Xenopus tropicalis: one gene and its partners. The main gene of each other region encodes a partner of the protein of the gene in region 2 in a complex. Links are inferred from orthologs where the notes say so. Each region holds a gene or a part of one and is shown on either strand. Other genes may lie near its edges.

Region 1 (3,656 bases), on a different chromosome or scaffold from region 2:
GGGCGACTAATCTCCCCGTGTACCAGAGCCCTTAGGCTAAAGCCCCATGGAGAGATTAGTTGCCTGCGATAAATCTCTGCTGCCACGGGCGATCTATCTGAAATGCCTTTCCACTGGCAGCAAAGTGTGTTTTTCCTAAGTCTGGCAAAGTTTCCTCCTGTAGGCAACTTTGTGTAACTTTGGAAAAAGAAGCAACACATATGCCTTTCCATTGGCGATTTACTTTGTTGCCAGTGGAAAGGCATTTAGGAGAGATAAGTCGCCCGCGGTAGCAGAGATTTATCACAGGTGACTGATCCCTCCGTGGGGCATTAGCTTTATTAGCTATGTTTTTATATTTTCAAATGTATCTGTTTTCTCCAGAATCTGCCTTTTTACTGAGTGAGGCTCATGTTGCTGCAATGTTCCAGTGTCTTGAGGCCGTAGAACAGAATAATCCCAGGCTTTTGGCTCAGATTGACACATCTGTGGTAAGAAGATCAAGAAAACATGTGAACCTTGAACATGAAACATATCGCAGAACAGAAAGTGTTTTTACATGACTGTTGAATTCTTTTTATTTCTTATGTTACTGGGAACTGCTGAGTGCTAGAGGAATAGCTGTTTTCCTGTTTAGCACCTTTTAACTAAGTTTTTCTACTGCACCAGGGCTAGATCTGTCCTATTGTATGATCATTCTCTTTGAATTTTTAAGCCTCTAACTTTTTAAAAATCTTGTGCAAAAGGCATTATAACAGGATTGGTCATCTCTGCTGAGCCTGCTCACATAATAATTATTTAAGAAAAGAAAAAAACATGATTTTTCTATTCAGTTAATAACTAACATTTATTTCAGTTATACAAACTGATACGAGCAATATACATCCTGGTTTGGGAAACTAGATAGTAGTATAACGCCCACTAATCGGGTAAATGTACAGCTGGGTACCTGGACAAATACCATTTTGCATCACTACATAACCCCAGTGTATACAACTGAATTTGTTGTCTTCTTTTCTGTGGTAAGGGTGCAGACCTGTTTTTTGCACTCTGCCTCTTTTAAAGGCTACTTTTCAAAATCGGTTACCAAGTGTATCAATCTAGCTTACAATTTACATTAAAAATAGGTCTTCTCCTATTTCAAGTAAGGGACCAAGCAGAATATACCATAGTGTAATCCAATGTATCTTTGTTATTAATTTGCAGTTCAATCAATCACACTATCAGGTTTAGGGTATCCGAAAGTAAGGTTACCTGCAATTAAAACAGACTTAAAGAATCTGAGAATTTTTAAAGAAACACCCTACCTTTTGGGAAACCACCCTAAGCTACCCCTCAGGCTCAAACGCATACCAACAGTCCAACCATACTTTGCTGTGTCCTTCTGTCTTTCAGGCTGGGCTGGTGGCAATGTGATTCTCCAATAGGATGGAGTTATGTTAACATTAGGATCCTGCCTTGCCTTGCCCTGCCCAGCCCAGAGTGACAGACACAGCCAGCTCTCTTAGCCAAGCATATTCATGGTGTTGTGTGTCAGTAACAGTAAGAATTTCCAGTTTATAAGTCATGTTAAGGGGGAATCATGTCATTTAGAATAGAAATATTTCAAAAATATTTAGTCAGTTTTAACACTTTATTGCTGGCAAACTAGATTAGTATACTATAAATGCAATACCACATATGATTCACAGGATGGCCTTTTTTAACACATTTTGTGATGTCCTATAGTCTTACAGTTCTATATTAAATATAATTGTGCAACTGATCCCCAGTGACATATATTATTCTTCCCCACAGCTTGCTGGCAAGAGACAACTCAACATATCAGAAAAAAGTCTGAGCCTATCAACCCTGCCGGGATCAACCGGTATCCCATACACTGATAACACTCCGCATTCTCTGTACAGCTCCTATAGCAGTCTTCAGTCTTTTAGCTCTGGTAAGATTATGGGATTAGAAGAACTTTAATGTGTTAATAACAGTTATATATGTTAAAGGGGATGATAGATGCTTCTAAACTATGTTAGTAAGTAAAAGACTTTATTTGTCAAAATAAGTAAAATTGTCTTAAAAATGTACCTTGTGTACAAGACAATTGTAAAACCATCAAAAAATGCTTGCTTACCCTTATTGATGCAATGAAGCACCTATTGCTCTGCTGGTTATCTTAGCATGCTGCTGCTGTGTGGTGCACTCCCCTGCCTCCATTTGAGTCAGTGGGGATGAGTGGCTGTTGTTTAAGGTTTAATTGCCCTGCTTTCTGGTGCCAAGAGAGGTAAGTTGTTGCAGCTTGCACGTGGATTTCCTAGGGAGCAGGTACCCAATCTTCTGATGCAGGCGGTGGTTGGCCATTGCATTTCTTGTCCCATTTCTCACCCAGCTTTCTCTTTGTGTGCTGCTTTTCTCTTGTGGCAAGGGGCCTCCTGTCTGTGCAGATACATGGAACCATGGTGTGAGTTTGCAAGAAGGTTGTAAAACATCTTGGATGTGTCAAACATGGATGACATTCCTTTATTACTACATTTTACTGTGCTCATGTTTTGTTGTGTATGTTAGGGAAAATAAATCTATGGCAAGCATTGCTTTAAAAATTAAAGTTTGAGTAGGAGATACTGGGGCCGATTCACTAAAGTGCGATAAAACGTGCGCTATTTATAGCGTGCGTTAAAAATTTTATCGCGTCTTAATTTTCGCAACTTTTCGCACGATTCACTATAAGCATACTTGCGCTATTTTACGCGCGATATTGCATGCGTTATTTAACTCGCAAAGACTATTTCCATGCAGTATTTGCCGGTACATGCGCTAAATAACGCACCGCATATAAATAGTAGCTTAGAAATAGTGTATAAAAATTGTCGCCGCATATAAATAGTGTATATAAATTGTCGCCGCATATAAATGGTAGCATATAAATGGTAGCATATAAATAGTAGATGCTTATAAATAGTAGCCACTAGTGATGAGCAAATGTGTTCTGGTTATCTTTAGTGAAAAATTAGCAAATCTTTTGAAAGATCCACGAAACGGCAAAAATGTTGTGCGGGCAAAAAAATTGTTGCCCGTGACTAATATTTTTTGACGCCTGTGTCAATTTTTGGATGTGCGGTGAATTTTTGCGTGCCAAATTTTTTCATGCATTTTGCCATTGGCAGATTGTTTTGCGAAACGCATGAAAAAATTTGCCGCGGAAAAATTCGCTGCACGTCCAAAAACTCGCTGCGAATCCATGCCTGCCGAAACATTTCATCACTTGTAGCCGCATATAAATAGTCGTGCGAATAAACGCACGCCATGTTAGCCATACACGCCAATACTTGTGGAAAATTACTGTATTAAAAATGACCATTTCGCTGCAAACTGGCAGCTGCATAATCGCGCTAATTATCGCGTCTAATTTAACGAAAAAAAGTGTGCGATAAATTTTATCGCACTTTAGTGAATCAGCCCTACTGTATATTAAACAGGATTGCAAAAAAACAGAAACATTCTCTGATAACAGGTTTTATTTAGAAGTACATTTGGCATGTAATGTAGATTGGAACCTCTTGATGTCTTCATTCATTGTGAAACGATAATTTTCTTTATAAGGAAGCTGTAACATTTTTTTTCTACACAAGACCCCTACGTTCCTGTATATCAGTAAACGTTTGTATTAAAGGGGCAGTATACCCTCT
Region 2 (3,656 bases):
TACATACAAAACTCAAGGACCCTGGGTGAAACTGGGTGCTGAGCTTGCAAAGGATTATGGGATATGCAGCCTTTCTGCTTAGAGCCTTCAGTGGGACACAGGACAATTAAAATGGTTTATTTCGGATCATGTAATAGGTTAATTATACACAACGACTGTAAAATGAACCAAACAAAAAGAATGGTCTCCCCACAAGACACAAAAAAATAGAAGTTCAAACAGTATGCTTTTAATGTTAACCACTTTGCACCCACAGGGGCTCGCAAAACTACTGCAGGCCACTTGGTAACACAGGGGTTAAAACACGCGGGCGTATAGTCCCCCCCCCCAAAAAAAAACTGATGAGAAAAACCATGGTGTTCTGCGTATGATACAGGTGTCAGTATCCGTTTGGATCGATGTCTGGGAGCTGGAGAGGGTGCAGATGATTAATATTTATCCTTTACACTGTGGGCGGGGAGGGAAGGGGTCTTGTGTTCGAAGGCCTAAGTGTGATATCGGTTAGTGAAGGACTCCCGCTTCGCCCTCCCTTCGCTTTCAGCAGCTGCAGCTCTCGGCAGAGGCCTTTGCTCTGTCATTTTTGTCCAATTTGATGGGTTCCGGGAATTCATTGTACAGCTCCACCTCTGTCTCCTGGCAGAACAAAACGGGCTCAGTTAGTAACATGTTTTCAATTTCCACATGGGGAATCTACAGTGCTAGCAGCAGTAATGCCATGTCAGCTCTGTAGGCTCCACAGCATTTAAGGGCTAAGTAAAATACAGGGTGTTTTACGCACCATTAAAGTACAGCCAAGTGACTATAATTTAAGCCCATAAGGCATAAGCACAGGGTACCATCCTGCTGCATCTTTCCAGGACCCCCTGCATCACCCTGGGCAAACACATGCACAGTACGTACCAGCTTCTATCATTACTGTACTGTGCACCATGCAAATGCCAGAGGGGTTGCTGTAAGATGCCATAGACACTCACTATTTATTGGGCTGGGGGGGCCTCTGTGTACCAGGGCCTATTTTGAATCTTAATCCATGACTTGATCACTGGGGGATGTCTTATGAACTGGAAAAACCCAGGTAATGTGGGCTTTGGCCTCTTTCAAATCACCACTTACCTTCTCTGTTCCTCTAAGACAAGGATCCCCAACCTTTCTTACTTGTGAGCCACAGTCAAATGTAAAAAGACTTGGGGAGCAACACAAGCACCATAAAAGTTCATGGAGGAGCCAAATAAGGGCTGTGATTGGCTATTAGGGGCCTCTATACTGTGTGAGCTTAAAAAAAAACAAAAAAAAAAACCTAAACCCTAAACATGAATAAGGCTAGGAAGGCCATATTTTATATACTGAACATATTAAACTAGCCTAATCTAGTCTATCTATATAGTAGTAAATATTCAGGCCTTCAAAGTTGTTACAGGAGGTCACCATACTGGAATGTGATTTGTTACAAGCTAAGCTTAGAGGTTGTGGCAAATTATCAAGCAGAAAATGGGGATTATCTTCATAGAAGCTGCTGCTACAGGGCTTTTTTTTCATTTCTAATGCTAATTGCACTGGTTTGAGAAATACCATGCACTTAATCTGCATTATTTACAGATCTTCCCTGCTAAAGGGTTGTGTTGTTGCCTTGGGCTGGTACAGAACCTCAAACATAGGGGCATATATATATATATATATATATATATATATATATATATATATATATATATATATATATATATATATATATATATATATATATATATATATATATATATATATATATATATATATATATATTATAGTGCGTAAGCCAACATCACCAGTGATGGAAAGAGGTAATGTGTAAAATGACGTAGAACAGAAATGAGGGTGTCCCACCATAAACAAACTATAGTTCTCCAGTTTCCCCACTTACAGTTCAGCTGTGGCTGCTGGGACTGCAGGATAAAATGTTGGTTATCCATTTTTTTTTCTAGATTGTTTCATAGCTTTGAAGAGATGCAATATAAAATAGCCCAACAGCCCCACTGACTCACCAGCAGAGGGAGCCACTTCATTACCTGTTTAAGTGCATTCCGTGCAATCGTTTGAAAAGCCTGTTCCACATTTATAGCTTCCTTTGCGCTGGTTTCAAAATATGGGATGTTGTTTTTGCTATGGCACCACACCTGTGCTCGCTTTGTGGTTACCTGTATGGGGCGGAAGACAGAAAGGATACCATTCTGAATCAGTCTCAGGAATGAAAGCCTGGGAAAGCACACACCATAACAATCCATTGTTACCATCAAGCATTTGTAAGTGCCAATATACTCTGCAGCTGTTTAATTAGGAGCTGACAGGAATATGCAACCATTGGCTCTTACCCTGTAGCAAATCCACTACTCATTGCTCCTGCTGGGGAAGCTGGGAAATGTAGTTGTGCAGTTGTGTAACAGTGTTAGATGGGCCTATACATGCAATATATCTATGCACTAATATATAGCAATAAAAGGTTACTGCTTTGGGAGAACAATTAGAACTCTCTATATTTATCAAAATGTATTTATAAAACCTGAGCTATATCAGAATATAATATACAGTTTGTTCATTTCCCTACGGGACCAAACTGTAAACTATATCCTTATAAAAAGGTGCTTATTGATGTCATCAGTTAATCGTAGCTTAGTGATGTAATTTGTCACGTCACTCGCTGAAACTTGTAAGTAAAATATGAGGATATTAGCAGTCACCTCCGAGTTCCATCACATGTATAAAAGTACTCAGCCTTTGGCCTTGTACCTTTTTATGGTCATGGAGCTCCTTGGTGGCTTATAATATCCCTATATTTTACAAAAGGGGGGTACATTATTCACTATATAATGGGTTAGTATCAAGAAGGTACTTACTTGTCTGTTCTCGAGGTCTACCTTATTTCCCAGCACAACAAAGGGAAAGTTCTCAGGGTCCCTTGGGCTCGCCTGAATGAGGAATTCGTCTCGCCAACTGTCCAGAGTCTTGAAAGTGTTGGGAGCAGTGACGTCATAGACCAGCACGCAGCAGTCGGCCCCTCGGTAGAAAGCTACCCCGAGGGATTGGAACCTTTCTTGTCCAGCTGTGTCCCATATCTAAACAGCCAAAGAGAAAAAGAGATAGAAGTATATCTTGGATTATACCAAGTAGATATAATGAAGACAATAAAGAGATTGCACCCAAACTTGTGGCAGGATATAGAGGCCCAGGGGCATAAGCAAATACCCTGAGGAGTTGTTGACATGAAAATGGGGGCTGTACCCCATATGCACCTATTGTACCCTACTGCACAGCTGTACCACAGGATAATGCCAAAGGCAATAAAAGGTTGTTGTGTCCCAGTTTAGGGGATCCCTTTGCACACATTTGTTTGGTTCCTTCACCGGCTTCATTACTAACCTTTTAGAACAGTGCTTCACCCCATGGTGCCTAATATCGCCCAAGATAAACTGCCAAATACACTTGTTATTTTAGTAGCAGAGAAAAAAATGATTAATGTGCTTTTGTCACAATGAACGTGTTGCCATGGATACCAGAAATAAAGCCGTAAGAGTGAGTAATAACTCTAGTCCTGAATCGTGCACTTTGCACCATTCATTGCACTCTCATTTACAGGTTGGGTTTAAAAACTGCCCCTCCCGCTTGAGGGAAATGTGCCAAGACCG
Region 3 (3,656 bases), on a different chromosome or scaffold from region 2:
GAGTCGAATGAGTACAGAAAAACATAGAATACTGGAGGATAAAGGTTTCAGGAGGATAAACATACATGGAGCAAGAGAGTGTGAAAAGGAATTGAAAATTTACAGAGAAACAAATGTCTCCGTGCAGTGAGGGGAGAGTTGCGTGTATAAAGAAGGCAGAGGAAGGCAGAAAACACAAGCTAACAGAGCTGTAGTATGGGGCCAGAAAGAAGAGGCAGTCGATAAAGAGGGGAGAGAAAGGTACGAGAATGGGGAACTGTCAGCGCGCAGTTCCGCTCATTGTGTTTAACAGATTCAGGTCAGACTGAATAGGGCGCGACTCACACCGCAGGAGAACAGGATCGGTTGTCATCAAAAATTCCTCCGTGTCGCTGTCGGACGCCATGAGATAGGGGCAGGCGGTTTGGATCCGGCCTGCTCTTAATACTGTTTGGGCTGAGAGGCCTCACTGGGCGCTGCTCCCCGGGGGCGCTGGCCGGCCCATCATTCAGGCTACAGGCTCCTGCTGACAGGCCAAGGCAAGGGAATAGGGGGGCCAGCGTACGCAGCAAAACACAGGCCAGTCTCGCGAGCGCAACGGATGCCGGACAGGGGGGTTGGGGGATGTGCGAGCGCAACCAATGCCGGACAATTAAGGTGCATCTTCAAATTCTTCTATTCCATATACTCGAGTATAAGCCGAGGGTGGCTTTTTCAGCCCATTTTTGGGACTGAAAAACTCGGCTTATACTCGAGTATATACGGTAAGTGCAAAGTGGGGTGTGCGTAATTATTCAGCCCCCTGAGTCAATACTTTGTAGAACCACCTTTTGCTGCAATTCCAGCTGCCAGTCTTTTAGGGTATGTCTCTACCAGCTTTGCACATCTAGAGACTGAAATCCTTGCCCATTCTTCTTTGCAAAACAGCTCCAGCTCAGTCAGATTAGATGGACAGCGTTTGTGAACAGCAGTTTTCAGATCTTGCCACAGATTCTCCATTGGATTTAGATCTGGACTTTGACTGGGCCATTCTAACACATGGATATGTTTTGTTTTAAACCATTCCATTGTTGCCCTGGCTTTATGTTTAGGGTCGTTGTCCTGCTGGAAGGTGAACCTCCGCCCCAGTCTCAAGTCTTTTGCAGACTCCAAGAGGTTTTCTTCCAAGATTGCCCTGTATTTGGCTCCATCCATCTTCCCATCAACTCTGACCTGCTTCCCTGTCCCTGCTGAAGAGAAGCACCCCCAGAGCATGATGCTGCCCCCCCATATGTGACAGTGGGGATGGTGTGTTCAGAGTGATGTGCAGTGTTAGTTTTCCGCCACACATAGCGTTTTGCATTTTGCCCAAAAAGTTCCATTTTGGTCTCATCTGACCAGAGCACCTTCTTCCACATGTTTGCTGTGTCCCCCACACGGCTTGTGGCAAACTGCAAATGGGACTTCTTATGGTTTTCCGTTAACAATGGCTTTCTTCTTGCCACTCCATAAAGGCCAACTTTGTGCAGTGCACGACTAATAGTTGTCCTATGGACAGATTCCCCCACCTGAGCTGTAGATCTCTGCAGCTCGTTCAGAGTCACCATGGGCCTCTTGGCTGCATTTCTGATCAGCGCTCTCCTTGTTCGGCCTGTGAGTTTAGGGGGACGGCCTTGTCTTGGTAGGTTTACAGTTGTGCCATACTCCATTTCTGAATGATCGCTTGAACAGTGCTCCGTGGGATGTTCAAGGCTTTGGAAATCTTTTTGTAGCCTAAGCCTGCTTTAAATGTCTCAATAACTTTATCCCTGACCTGTCTGGTGTGTTCTTTGGACTTCATGGTGTTGTTGCTCCCAATATTCTCTTAGACAACCTCTGAGGCCGTCACAGAGCAGCTGTATTTGTACTGACATTAGATTACACACAGGTGCACTCTACTTAGTCATTAGCACTCATCAGGCAATGTCAATGGGCAACTGACTGCACTCAGACCAAAGGGGGCTGAATAATTACGCACACCCCATGGAATCATGTATGATTTTCGTTCCACTTCTCACGTGTACACCACTTTGTATTGGTCTTTCACGTGGAATTCCAATAAAATTGATTCATGTTTGTGGCTGTAATGTGACAAAATGTGGAAAAGTTCAAGGGGGCCGAATACTTTTGCAAGCCACTGTACAATAATGGTTAAGTGAAAATGAGTTAGGAGATATAATACATCAAAAGTAGAACCACTATGAACATTAAGTCATTTTGCTTAACAGTATGGATGCACATTTTGTTACGTGAAATTATTTACCCTTTAAAAGTAAAGAATACTTTGTGTACTGTTCCATTTAACAATAGGAAGTAGATACGTAAATAGGAAAAAAATTTTGCTTTTGTTGAATATTCCATCTATCTATAGGTGTAAATATACACAGGTGCAGTAACACACAGCAACCGATGATTCAAAACTTACTAGACTGACAAGGTAATTGCCGATATGCTGCTATGGCTTACAACACTGCTGCAACATGACCTATATTAGTAAATTTAAGCCTGCCACTCAGCAGAAAGGATTACTGATAGAACTTCTCATCTGCCTTACTCTACATAAGCATGTCATGGAAACGATTCCATGCTTCAGGGCAAATAATGCTAAGAATATTAGAGTATTTTATTTATGACAAGGATAATTTAACTAAAGCATTTTAGATAGGTTTCTAAAAATAGCGTCAGTAGCAGAGACATTTTCAACTACAGGGCAGTACAGGCTCATTGCCATTGGACATAAAGTGAAACAGCAAATATTTAGTCTGGAGTGTGAATTAAATGGGTGGTTCATCTTGGTATGTTATAAAACGGCCAATTCTAAGCTACTTTTCAATTGGTCTTCATTATTTATTTTTTATAAAGGTCATTTTACCTTCCTTTGATTTGCGCTCAGCCAACTGACCAAGAAGTTCCTGGTTCTCTTCTGTGAGCTGGGACAGCCGATTCTGTAGAACATGCTCCTTTTTCTGAGCTTCAAGCAGCTGCTCCTGGAGATCCTACACAGGGGGAGTACAGTGAAGATGAACTGTTGTGAACTATATTTATTACACCCACAGGAACAGAATATACTAAGGGCTACAAACTTATTCAAGCTCACAAATGCAGGGGAATTGATGGTAGTATACAGCGTGTCAATATATTATTTCCAGTACCAACGGACATTTCATTTTTTTTATAATTTATAGTTTAATTATCTACATTTCTCCAGTTTGCAGTTTCAGCATCTATCTGGTTGCTAGTGTCCAAACTAGGTTTTGAATGAGAGACTGGTATATGAATAGGAGAGGACCTGAATAGAAAAGTAACCCCCATTTGAAAGTTGGAAAGAGTCAGAAGAAGGCAGCAAATAATTTAAAAACCCCAAAAAATAAATAATGAAGACCAGATGAAAAGTTGCTTAGAATTGACCATTCTAAAAGTTAACCTAAAGGTGAACCACCCATTTAAGAAATGTAATTCCCTTTCTGTATATAATCATTTTAATACCAAATAACCAGTATTATATTCCACAAGTTTAAAAAAAAAAAAAAAAAAGTCCAATAGCATTAAATTCTGTATTTAAAAAAAACATAGATAGACTATGCAACAAAGACTACAGACTCTCTGTGAAACCCACTAAAGATTTGACTACAAGGTCACAGAATAAAACTTAATGTGGC

The links.
Region 1: the proteins of rab7a (region 2) and rubcn are in contact, whole or in part, in a crystal structure (PDB 6WCW), measured with the Homo sapiens proteins. The link is inferred for Xenopus tropicalis from reciprocal best matches to the Homo sapiens genes RAB7A and RUBCN. Residues at the interface, in NP_004628.4 of Homo sapiens: Ile41, Gly42, Ala43, Asp44, Trp62, Gln71, Ser72, Leu73, Gly74, Val75, Ala76, Phe77, Arg79, Ser101, Asp104, Glu105, Ile108, Gln109, Ser111; in NP_055502.1 of Homo sapiens: His818, Asn821, Met822, Lys824, Thr825, Arg827, Leu883, Gln885, Ala886, Lys887, Gly888, Phe889, Ile890, Glu892, Gln895, Glu897, Ile900, Pro903, Cys915, Lys916, Arg931, Arg934, Arg938.
Region 3: the proteins of rab7a (region 2) and rilp are in contact, whole or in part, in a crystal structure (PDB 1YHN), measured with the Homo sapiens proteins. The link is inferred for Xenopus tropicalis from reciprocal best matches to the Homo sapiens genes RAB7A and RILP. Residues at the interface, in NP_004628.4 of Homo sapiens: Ser3, Lys6, Leu8, Ile41, Gly42, Ala43, Asp44, Phe45, Leu46, Thr47, Thr58, Trp62, Ser72, Leu73, Val75, Leu182, Tyr183, Asn184, Glu185; in NP_113618.2 of Homo sapiens: Phe248, Glu249, Leu252, Gln253, Arg255, Asn256, Lys259, Ala260, Phe263, Leu264, Glu267, Glu268, Tyr271, Arg274, Glu275.

Annotation. Positions count from the first base shown.
Region 1 is NC_030681.2:101,932,120-101,935,775, forward strand, and holds part of rubcn (run domain Beclin-1-interacting and cysteine-rich domain-containing protein), read left to right. Parts: intron 1-363; coding exon 364-470; intron 471-1,776; coding exon 1,777-1,918; intron 1,919-3,656.
Region 2 is NC_030680.2:135,623,992-135,627,647, reverse strand, and holds part of rab7a (ras-related protein Rab-7a), read right to left. Parts: intron 3,087-3,656; coding exon 2,868-3,086; intron 2,172-2,867; coding exon 2,043-2,171; intron 634-2,042; coding exon 538-633; 3' UTR 1-537.
Region 3 is NC_030678.2:45,632,693-45,636,348, reverse strand, and holds part of rilp (rab-interacting lysosomal protein), read right to left. Parts: intron 2,994-3,656; coding exon 2,870-2,993; intron 1-2,869. UniProt on the Homo sapiens protein: Rab effector playing a role in late endocytic transport to degradative compartments. Involved in the regulation of lysosomal morphology and distribution.